Schizosaccharomyces pombe: one gene and its partner. Changing the gene in region 1 together with any one later gene gives a genetic interaction. Each region holds a gene or a part of one and is shown in the gene's direction. Other genes may lie near its edges.

What was found.
Region 2: of ogm2 (region 1) and phx1, extra expression of one rescues a mutant of the other (dosage rescue), as found in Schizosaccharomyces pombe (one study listed by BioGRID).

Annotation. Positions count from the first base shown.
Region 1 is NC_003424.3:3,311,517-3,316,614, forward strand, and holds ogm2 (protein O-mannosyltransferase Ogm2), read left to right. Parts: upstream 1-1,905; 5' UTR 1,906-2,124; coding exon 2,125-4,344; 3' UTR 4,345-4,384; downstream 4,385-5,098. Other genes in the region: SPOM_SPAPB1E7.08C (transporter), read right to left, coding at 1-819.
Region 2 is NC_003424.3:2,451,288-2,458,827, reverse strand, and holds phx1 (DNA-binding transcription factor, stationary phase-specific Phx1), read left to right. Parts: upstream 1-2,309; 5' UTR 2,310-3,280; coding exon 3,281-6,109; 3' UTR 6,110-7,035; downstream 7,036-7,540. Other genes in the region: trp2 (tryptophan synthase), read left to right, coding at 1-1,170. UniProt on the Schizosaccharomyces pombe protein: Trnascription factor that regulates the expression of the homocitrate synthase (HCS) lys4.

The DNA of each region.
Region 1 (5,098 bases):
AACAGAAACAAGAAACCTAGCAGCAAACATCAACAAGGTCATTCCTCCCATCGTAAACAAAAAGTATCGCCAACCCTTATTGTCTGCACGATGACAGACAGATTCATCGTCGGGACATGAAAAGTTAGAAATAAGACCCCATGATACCAAATTAGCAATCACTTGTCCAATGGCCCACCAGAAGGACATGACTGTGAGGAGCCACTGGTGAGACGAAGGTAAGGCTTCTAAAAAGATTGCCGAATCAACAGGCAAGTTACCACCCACACCAAAACTCCATAAAGCATCAAAAACACAAATGGAAGCAAAGTTAGGAGAGGCGCCAGCAATAACAGCGAACACACCGGTAAACAGAAATGTAAGGTTGAAAGCCCATCGTCTCCCAATTGTGTCAGCAGAAAGCGACCAAACCATGGCGCCTACCAATAAACCCAAATTTTGAGACAACGTTAAATAAGGAGCACGACCTTCAGCAGGAGGGTGTGGTCCATCCACTTCGTCGAGTCTCATTAAAATTAAAGATGTGCAGACAGGCCATATATTGTCAGACATCCAACCAAAGCCTGCAACAAAAAATAAATACCATTGATATCTGCCAAACCCAATTTCGTTCATTGCATTACTCAGGATACGGGATTTTGCCAAATAAGTTTTGCTAAAGTCATTACTGTCGAATAAATCGTCATCAGATTTGCTGGGCTGTATAGTAGCATCAGCCAATTCTACTGGATATACGAGCTCGGTTTCAGAAACATCTTCCTGCTTTTTGGACTCCGTAGGAGACATATCATATAATCTTGGAGGTATAGAAGAACTCATTTTTATACTGTCCAATTTATAAACATAGACAATAACAAGAAGGAAAATTAGTTCTATAATTTATATGTAATTATCAACGCAGAAACATTAACCAGATGTTATGAATGACTTCTATGAACACTGTGAAATGGTCGAAAAGGAAGGAGAAATGAGGAATTGACGCAAACAAAGAGGAAAATAGACAGAAAAGAAAAAGAAATGTAAAGAATCTCAATAAAAATTCGATAAATCTTACACGAAATACAGGTGCAAATACCTTTCTACCTAAAGATCATTAAAGGGAGCTTTCAGTCAGTCGCTGTTTGATTTGTTTCGATTCAACAAAACAGCTTGAAAGATATGGTAAAAGGAAGGAAGCTGCAAACGTAAATTTGACCTTAGAATGGTGTACTACTTCCATATTCACAATGTGTGATAAGAATGAGCTAATAAGGGATACTAGCCTGCATATCAATATCGAGTGGCAGTAAGTAGTTGTGCGCTAACCATCTTAGCAAATTCGGTAAAAAGCAGTATTTAAAGTCAGAAAAAAATATTTTGCTATTAATGGATTTCATGAGAAAATAAAGATATTGGTTTATTTTTGAATTCATAATGTTTTCAGTACCTCGATAATATGATGGAGTTCCAATATCATAAACTACTGTTAGCACTTGTGGTATAGAAATAACGATGTTAACGTGTTATTGTAATATCACTTTATATTTAAGAAGATATCATTAATTACCCTTAATAAGAATGCAATTTCTGTAACAAACCGTGGCGATTGTAACAAATAGTAGGCATACTTCAGAGTCAGTAAATAAAGTACAAGCATTGCTGGTCAAAATAATAAGACATATTATTACTAAAATATACTCACTAGTTTATGTGGTACACCTGCGATTTTTTCTGACTTCAATGTCTAAACATCGGTGCACTACGTTAGCAATCTATAGGGATAATCAGTTTGGATTACCCTAAAAAGACTTTGCATTACTTAAAATTCATAGTTATTTAAACTCTTAAAAATTGTTGGTCTCTTCGCTACACTTCTGTATTAACATTGAATTACGCAGCGATTGATACATTATTATTGCTTTCCTCAGCCAACATTTAACACTCTTTATTTGGACTTGTATTTTGTTGAGAAATTAGAGTCGAAAAGGACATCTTTTCTTCTCTAGTGATCTTTTTGTTTTCTTTTGGTATCGATCAAGTTTTGGGCTCGTTAAATTGTGTGTGTCCTGAGAAAGCAAACTCGGACTATAGGTGCATTAGCTGAAGTAAAAGCTATATTTTTGTTTGCTTGTTGTACATTGTAAAATGTCCTATGAACAGCTTCATGCTCAGTCGGGTCAGCTTCGCCAGCGCTTTCCTTCGAAGCATAGTGAGATTGAGGATGAGGTAGCAAATGAGAAGGAAGAGTTAAAAGACGCTACCAAGAGTGCTTTGGGTGAAGTTAAAACCAATAAGAAATATTACATTCTTGGTTATTTTCTCGTCCCTTTACTCTTAACCGTTATCGCTGGTTTTGTTCGTGTTTGGAAAATTGCCGATAGTAATGTTGTTATTTGGGATGAAGCCCATTTCGGCAAGTTTGCCTCGTATTATTTGAAGCATGAGTTCTATTTTGACGTTCATCCACCTTTGGGTAAGATGCTTAACGCTGTTGCTGGCAAATTGGTTGGCTATGATGGTAGCTTCGATTTCAGTTCTGGTGCTACCTATCCTGAGGATTTAAATTACAAATTTATGAGACTTTGGAATGCTGCGTTTGGAACTCTATGCATTCCTTTGGTTTATTTTACTGCATTAAACTTTAATTATTCGTTTCTAGCTGCTACATTATGCACTTTGATGGTAGCGTTGGACAATCATTTGGCTACCATCAGCCGCTTCATTCTATTAGACAGTATGTTACTTTTTTTTATTATCAGCACATTTTTCTGCTTGTCTAGATATCATGTTTATCATAAGGCTCCCTTCACCTTTTATTGGTTTAAATGGCTCTTTTTGACTGGTGTTTGCATTGGCTGCGTTTGCAGTGTCAAGCTTGTTGGTCTCTTCATTACAGCGGTTGTGGGTCTTTATACTGTTGATGAGTTGTGGTGTTTATTGAACGATAAGCGAGTTACTTGGAAGGCGTATGCTGGCCACTGGATTGCTCGCGTCTGCCTGCTTATTTTCCTCCCTATCCTTATTTATGCCTTTACTTTTTGGATCCAATTCGCTGTTCTCTACAGATCAGGACCAGGTGATGCTCAGATGCCTTCTCTTTTCCAGGCTCGCCTTGAAGGATCTCCTTTGACCAAGAATCCTATTGACCTAATGTATGGCAGTAAATTCACATTGAAGAGCAGAAATCCAACTGGTGCACTTTTGCATTCTCACGTTCAAACGTATCCTGAAGGTAGTGAGCAACAGCAAGTTACTGGTTATCATCACAAAGACGGTAACAATGAGTGGATGTTTGTACCTACTCATGGTGTGGCCTATAACTATGAGGAGAACGATCCTATGAATCCTATTCTTAATGGAAGCGTAGTTCGTTTAATTCATCCTTTTACAAACCGTAATCTTCACACTCACAAAATCCCTGCCCCTCTGAACAAACGTATGTATGAAGTCTCTGGATATGGCTTGGGTGACGTCGGAGATGAAAAGGATTATTGGATTGTAAATATTTTGTATGATACTGCTCACAGAGATGCGTATAACGTACGCTCTCTTTCTACCGTCTTTCAGTTGTACAACCCGGTAGTCGGCTGCTATTTGAGTTCATCATCTTCTAGTTTACCTTCATGGGGTTTTGGGCAAATCGAAATGTATTGTGATCCCGACCCCGATCCATCAAATACTGACACTCAATGGAATGTTGAAGAGCATATTAATCCTCGTCTTCCTGAAGGAAGTATTAACGATTATCCTTCTTCCTTTTGGTCTGATTTTCTTCACCTGAATCGCGCCATGTTACGTGCTAACAATGGTCTTATTCCTGATGAAGATAAATTAGATGCCCTTCGCAGTGAAGCATATCAATGGCCCTTCCTTTTAGCAACCTTACGAATGTGCGGATGGGGCGATAACCAAATCAAATATTTGCTGGTAGGGAACCCCGTTGCTTACTGGTTTGCAACTTCTAGCTTAATTGTTTTTGCATTATTTGTTGTGGGAGCCGTTTTAGCTTGGCGTCGTCGTGTGCTAAGATGGTCTCAAGAAGCTTGTGATACTTTCCATTATGCCGGCATTTATCCATTTTTGGGCTGGTTCTTTAACTACCTACCCTACTATATTATGGGACGTGTTTTGTATGTTCATCACTACGAGCCTTCGTATGCCTTATCGACTTTCACTGCAGCCTTCGTTGTTGACTGGTTTACTAAAAAGATGCCTAAGATTGTCCGCGTAGTTGTGTTTATCTCACTTTATGCTATAATTGCCGGAGTCTTTATTTATTTCAAGGATGTAACCTTCGGCATGCATGGACCTGCATCCGACTTCCATCGCCTTCGTTGGCTTAACTCTTGGAATGTTCATGATTAATTTCAACTTATTTAAAATAATATATAACATTCAATTTCTCTGTCTTTTATCTTAATTGGTGCTTACTTTGAGTCGTAGCTTACTGCTGTTTCGTTAACAGTTGACTGTCTTTTTTTAATATTGATTTTTATTAATTTTTTGTCTTTCTTTCAGCATCATCGTTCACGCCAATTTAGTGCAGTAAAGCTCTTATATTATTGCTGGGCAAGTGGATAACAGCAATGCAGAAAAGCTGTTAATCAATTTTCCATATCCAATACTGTAATCTGTAAAAGCGTGGATTATCTATCTATCCAATATATGTACAGGTTTATCTCTAATGCTTACAGTAAATTAGATGAAATTATCAAACGAGTTAAAACTCAAATCACATTTATGATGTACTTTTCAAAACCAAAATTATCAAATTACTTTAATACAAATAATGGTGTAAAGACTTCTACTTAAACATACTGTAAATACCCTCCATAGTCCTAATTTGCATGAAAATTTAAATATGAACAATAAAACAGATGAAATACAATAATCCTGGCTCTAAAAATTGCATATCCATTTAACCTAAGCTACTAAAATAACGTTTAATAAGTAAACACATATGGATAAAAATATGTGGGAAACTTCTCTTACAGTAAACTTCATAAAGTAAAACAAGCCACTGCCTTTTAGTTTTCATTCAATCTCCTGCTGCTCCGTAAAGTCTTTGGGATGAAAAAAACCTACAAACACTAAATAAAACAGCAGTGCAACGTAAAGA
Region 2 (7,540 bases), 860 kb from region 1:
ATGTATGTTCCAGAAGCATTAACCCAGTGCTTAGTTGAACTTGAAAGTGTATTTTATAAGGCTTTGCATGATGAAAAGTTTTGGGAAGAATTTCGTTCTTATTATGAGTATATGGGTCGTCCAAGTGCCCTCGATTATGCTAAGCGTTTAACTGAGTATTGTGGTGGTGCCCATATTTGGTTGAAGCGTGAAGACTTGAATCATGGTGGTTCACACAAAATTAACAACTGTATTGGGCAAATTCTTCTTGCCAAACGTTTAGGAAAAAACCGTATCATTGCTGAAACTGGTGCTGGTCAGCATGGAGTTGCTACTGCTATCTGTGCCGCTAAATTTGGTATGAAATGTACTATCTACATGGGTGCAGAAGATTGTCGTCGTCAAGCACTCAACGTTTTTCGCATCCGTCTTTTGGGAGCTGAAGTCGTTCCGGTTACTTCAGGTACACAGACCCTTCGTGATGCTGTTAACGAAGCTTTGAAGGCGTGGGTCGAACAAATAGACACCACTCATTATTTAATTGGATCTGCAATTGGCCCTCATCCATTCCCTACCATTGTTAAAACTTTCCAAAGTGTCATTGGCGAGGAAACGAAAGCGCAAATGCAAGAGAAGCGTAAAAAACTTCCTGATGCAGTTGTTGCTTGTGTTGGTGGTGGATCCAATTCGATTGGAATGTTTTCTCCCTTCAAAGCCGATAAAAGTGTAATGATGTTGGGTTGTGAAGCTGGTGGTGATGGTGTAGATACCCCCAAACATAGTGCTACATTGACTATGGGAAAAGTTGGTGTATTTCATGGAGTTCGAACATATGTTCTGCAACGCGAAGATGGACAAATTCAAGATACTCACTCTATATCTGCTGGATTGGATTATCCAGGTGTGGGACCCGAATTATCTGAACTTAAATATACCAATCGCGCAGAGTTTATCGCTGTCACTGATGCTCAATGTTTAGAAGGATTCCGCGCTCTATGTCATCTTGAAGGTATCATTCCCGCTTTGGAATCTTCTCATGCTGTGTATGGTGGAATGGAGCTTGCTAAAAAGTTACCTAAAGATAAGGATATTGTGATCACCATTTCAGGTCGTGGTGACAAGGATGTTCAAAGCGTAGCTGAACAACTTCCTATTTTAGGTCCTAAAATTGGATGGGACCTTCGCTTTTAAGCAATGTTCTACTCACGATTTTCTGATTTATATTAAGGCTCCGTAAACTTAAGCGGAGTTGCGATCTATAGATATACAAGCATCGCATGCGATTAAACTTTTTTATACCAAAACATATGTGTATTTCTTTTTATCTATAAATATCATTTCAATTTTGCTTCTACTATTTACTAGCCTTAAATAGCGTTGTAGTCATGTAATAACCTGTACATAATACTGTACTTATTTACCTAATAAAGGTTTTCTGTGGATTTAATTTCTTAGGCTAATTTTTCAAAGGCTTAAGAGAATTATGTGTATGCTGAAGAAGAACATTCAACAAAGCGGTTTTCTTTAGTCTATGATTTTGAGAATCATGTCCTATTTACACTACAATGCAAGTGCAAAAAATGTTTTAAAACAATTTATCAGCACGAGCAAGATGTCGTAGTATTTTCAATTTATATGGTTTTGGCTTTTTAGAGTCGCGACATAGTCTATTAACATAAGCTTTAATCTTTGGTATATTAGCAAATCTTCCAGATTGAAGTTAGCAGTTTATGGAGAGAAAATAAAATTCTTTCTGTATATTCGCCTAATAAGACCACTCAAGTCTTTAGCACTGAATAATAAAAAGTGTCACAAATCTTTGAACTATGGTAAAACTCCCAATTACAATTACTTAAGTTCGCACTCCTAAAACAGCATTACCCGTAGAATAAATTGAAAAAAAAGTATAAAATCAAACAAGTGGTACAGATCAAATTTTTAAAAATTTAGTAATGTTTCTATGTTTTTATATTACAATATTCAGATAGGTAGTATTCTCGCTTACAGTTTAGACAGTAAATGTAACATTAGTGTTTCTCCACAATTCCCCACATAGTTAATAGTAAAGTTGAGGACAAAATTATGATTTATCTATATATTCTATGAATTACATATGACCCTAGATGTACCCATTCGACAAAAGTATCCTTCAAATAATAGGTCTTAAAAACAAAGACTTGCTCATTAGAAGCAATCGATCGTTCATTCACTTTACTAAAGGATTTACCAATATGTATTGGGGGCGTCGTTTCTAAGGCAAGGTAGTACGTTAGAGTTCGTAATATAATTGTTCGGTTAGTTAAGTGAAGAGCGATATGTGAATTAAAACCACCACATCAACCATATAAAAACTACATTATTTATGAAACCATAAGCATTCTGTTTAATTCATTAAATTAGGACAGAAATTAATTAGGCTCTTGCAAGGATCAAATTGGAGTGAAATTGCATCTCTTTACGATATTTCAAGTTGTGTTTTATTGCATTAGATTTAGAGGAGCAATCAGCAACGATCTATTAGCAGTGAACGTTAACGAATATCTCAATTACATTCGGATCTTTAATTATTTGGTTTATTTATTTTTTTAATAACAAAAAAGGGAAAGAAAAATTGGGGAAAGAGAAGGGAATAATTATATTGTTAATTTTGCAATATTTTTTATCATTTAATTAGCAAACTTTTATTATTTAATTTTTAGGCAAATTTGACAACTCATCTCTTCATTTAGTCAATTTTTATTTGTTTTGACATTTGTGAGATATCCAGGGATCGATAGCCTCTGTCTACAAAGGGTCGTGTCTCTTAGTTTTCGTCAATCAGTTTCTTTCAAGATCTAGAAGGCGTACTAATTATTTCTACTTGGAGACTTTAAAGCTTGGGTATTGCTTGTCCACTGTGCTTATGTATCTGAACATAGCTACAATCTCTGCTACAAAAGCTAAAGAGAGAAGTCCCCTCCAAGAAGGGATCAAATTTATTTCGTTAGGGTTTTCTTCTGGTCAAACTTTTTTTTGGATAGGATAAGTTTTTAATTACAATAAATTCAGCGGCTGGGGTTTCATAAGTGCCCCATATTTCGAGGGTACCAGGTTCACGTTTTTTGCGTCTCCTCAAGTACTCAGAGATTCCACGGAATTTCTTTCAATTTAATTTTTTTTACATCATTTTATTTCTCTGAGCTTTCTTTAATTAATCTTCCAAAGTCACCATTCAATTTGCATTTCTTGGCATACTTTTTGAAGCAAATTTTTATTTCTCATAAGGATTTTATTTTCATTTCATTTTATTTCTAAGAACAATATGCGTAGTTATTCGAACCCAGAAAATGGTGGTCAAATTAATGACAATATTAATTATTCTGAGAAGCGACCTACAATGCTCCCGGAGAATTTGTCCTTGAGCAACTATGACATGGATTCTTTTCTCGGTCAGTTTCCATCTGATAATAACATGCAATTACCCCATTCAACGTATGAGCAGCATCTTCAAGGGGAACAGCAAAATCCTACCAATCCTAATTATTTTCCTCCTGAATTTGACGAAAACAAAGTAGATTGGAAACAGGAGAAACCCAAACCGGATGCACCGAGTTTTGCAGATAATAATTCATTTGATAATGTGAATAGTTCGAAATTGACGAATCCATCGCCAGTTCAACCTAATATTGTTAAATCTGAGTCGGAACCTGCTAATTCAAAGCAAAATGAAGTTGTTGAAGCTACATCTGTTGAGAAAGCTAAGGAGAATGTCGCTCACGAAAGTGGTACTCCTGAGAGCGGCGGATCTACTTCTGCGCCAAAGAGCAAAAAACAGCGCCTTACTGCAGATCAACTTGCTTATTTGCTTCGGGAATTCTCCAAAGATACTAATCCACCTCCAGCTATAAGGGAAAAAATTGGACGCGAGTTGAATATTCCGGAACGTAGCGTAACTATTTGGTTTCAAAACAGAAGAGCAAAATCAAAGCTCATTTCAAGACGTCAAGAAGAAGAAAGACAAAGGATCCTTCGTGAGCAGAGAGAATTGGATTCCTTAAATCAAAAAGTTTCACAAGCATTTGCGCACGAAGTATTGTCTACTTCACCTACCAGTCCCTACGTTGGGGGAATAGCAGCTAATAGGCAGTATGCGAACACGTTATTGCCTAAACCAACTAGAAAAACAGGAAACTTTTATATGAAAAGTGGACCTATGCAATCTTCCATGGAGCCATGCATAGCAGAGTCAGACATTCCGATCCGTCAGTCTCTTTCTAGTACATACTACAATAGTCTAAGTCCAAATGCCGTTCCTGTCTCAAGTCAAAGGAAATACTCTGCCTCTTCTTATTCCGCAATCCCAAATGCTATGTCGGTATCAAATCAAGCTTTCGACGTAGAATCTCCACCCTCTTCGTATGCTACTCCACTTACAGGCATCCGTATGCCTCAACCAGAGTCAGATCTTTACTCCTATCCTAGAGAAGTGAGCCCTAGTTCTGGGGGTTACAGAATGTTCGGTCATTCCAAGCCTTCATCATACAAAGCATCAGGGCCTGTTCGTCCTCCTAATATGGCAACAGGGCACATGCGTACTTCTTCAGAACCGACCTCATATGATTCGGAATTTTACTACTTTTCTTGTACATTACTAGTAATTGGTTTATGGAAAAGACTACGAGCCTCTCCTCAGGATTTAATGTGTTTCTACTCTCCGCCAAAGAAATTATTTGCATATTTGATTCAATTCCAGGGGATTCAGTATCGTATTGAATATTCTTTTTTTGTCATTGAGTCGATACACGTTTTTAGAGTAGAGGAGCCCTTGTTAAATGAGTTGAGTGCAACTGCGTCTAGTCGAGATAAACCGGCACCAAATGAATATTGGCTTCAAATGGATATTCAGCTGAGTGTTCCACCAGTATTTCACATGATCACTTCCGAAGGACAGGGAAATTGTACGGATTTTACTGAGGGTAATCAGGCTTCGGAAGTTTTATTACATTCTTTGATGGGAAGAGCTACTAGCATGTTTCAAATGCTCGATCGGGTTCGAAGGGCATCGCCAGAGTTGGGGTCTGTAATCCGCCTTCAAAAAGGTCTTAATCCTCACCAATTTTTGGACCCTCAATGGGCTAATCAACTTCCTAGACAACCTGATAGCTCTGTATTTGATCATCAAGGAAGAAACCCTCCTATCCAGGGATTGTCTCATGACACTTCTTCTGAATATGGCAATAAAAGCCAGTTTAAAAGGCTTCGTAGCACTTCAACCCCTGCTAGACAGGATTTGGCTCAGCATCTTTTACCTCCGAAAACTAATACTGAAGGGCTTATGCATGCTCAATCTGTGTCTCCTATTACTCAAGCAATGAAATCTGCTAATGTTTTGGAAGGAAGTTCTACAAGACTAAACTCTTATGAGCCTTCAGTTTCATCTGCTTATCCGCACCATAATTTAGCGCTTAATCTTGATAACACGCAGTTTGGTGAGCTTGGCACATCTAATATATCATATCCTTTATCGGCACCATCCGATGTCGGCTCACTTCCTCGAGCATCCAATTCACCAAGCCGACCTGTGATGCATCCAAATACACAAGGTATTAACACGGAAATAAAAGACATGGCAGCGCAGTTTCCCAATTCACAAACTGGTGGTCTCACTCCAAATTCATGGTCAATGAACACAAACGTATCCGTCCCATTTACGACTCAAAACAGAGAATTTGGCGGCATTGGCTCTTCTTCAATTTCCACCACGATGAATGCACCAAGTCAACAGTTATCTCAGGTACCATTTGGAGATGTCTCCCTTGCTACTGAGAACTCTGTCCCGTCGTATGGATTTGAAGTACCATCTGAAGAGTCTGTTTACGCGCAAGCCCGTACAAATTCATCTGTTTCTGCTGGGGTTGCTCCTCGGTTATTCATTCAAACACCGTCTATACCTTTAGCATCATCTGCTGGACAGGATAGTAATTTAATTGAGAAAAGTAGTAGCGGTGGTGTGTATGCGTCGCAACCCGGAGCTTCGGGCTACTTATCTCATGACCAAAGTGGTAGTCCATTTGAGGATGTTTACTCTCCTTCTGCTGGTATAGATTTTCAGAAACTTCGTGGTCAACAATTTTCTCCGGACATGCAGTAAATTTTGTGATATGATGATTAACGGTACAATTGAAACTCGCTTGAAGCTTGCTTATTTTCGTTTTCTTTTGATAACGAGAAGATGTTTAACTCTTGAAAATTACATGCCTCGTTTGTATTTTTATGACCGCTTACGTTTTTATAAATTCATCAATATCTCTAAAAGGTTTAAAGGATTAATTTTTGATCTATATTATACAAGGTATTCTTGAATAATGTTTAATTTGGTGATAAAAATACAATTCCATGGAAAAAAATTGTGCTTCCATGTATTATTGTCTGGGAAGAACTTTGATGCGAAAAAAAAAATAAAAGACCTCTACAAGGCACTTCATATACGATTATGTATGGTTTATGTTTTTTTTACTTCTTTAATTTTATTTTATTTTATGTTCCAAAGCGATAGGAGGTATTACATATTGTTGTATCGTGTATGCAATACTTAATGATCCTAGCATTTCATTTGAAGAAACTCCGTCAATGATCGAATCCAAATTCCACTGAAAAAATGTAATGGAGTTTGAACAGTATCGTACCCACGAGCGTGAGTTGGATTATTGAGTTTTTGCATGTTTAGCCGACACATATTTTTTTGGCGACTTTAAACTTTTTTATTTACCATTTATTTCTCTTTTTAAGTTATGAATAATTTCTTTTTCCTCATGTATATTATTACTTTATTTTCATGTTTTTTTTTTTATTAATTTGACATTTAGGACGATTATTATTTTCGTTATTTCTCCTTTCCAGCGGGAACGTTTCAGCATCACAGTTTTTGCACATAAACTATAATAATTTTGAAAGCATTATGAGTTAATTTAGTAGAATTAGATTCTTTGAAACATAATCCATCAACGAAGCTGTCCGCCTTTTTTTTAAGAGGTGCATGCCATATATAGTCATTTTCTGTGTAAATAAACATTTCACTAGTAGATAATTTTTTGAGATGAGCAAAGAATTGAATGAACCAAAGTAATAATTGTTAAGATATAATATTAGAAAATTTATTTTAAAGATGTATATTAGAATGTATTTAGACTAAGCTCGTAATATATATTTTTTTCATTTTCTTAAAATTTATTTTGTTTTATTATAAGAATGAATTTATGTTTCATGAATGGAGAATATCAATAAAAAAATTGTTTGGAGGTGACAAATATATAAGATTTGCTTTTAATATCTATAAAATAATTTTTATCAGTTAGTACAAAAGTATAGGACAAAAATATGAACAATGATTTCGGGCGCCTACTTTGAAGGTGATGTTGTTTTTTGCTGATGCCTATAAGCTGAAGCTAAAGCAGCACACACCAGATTAGATAGATGATTGATTATACTGAAACACTCTAAGATACGGAAATTCTCCGAACAATAAGAAAGCCAAAAAAGAGAAAAAGAAGTGAAAGAAACGCCTTCCATATATCGATTGAAC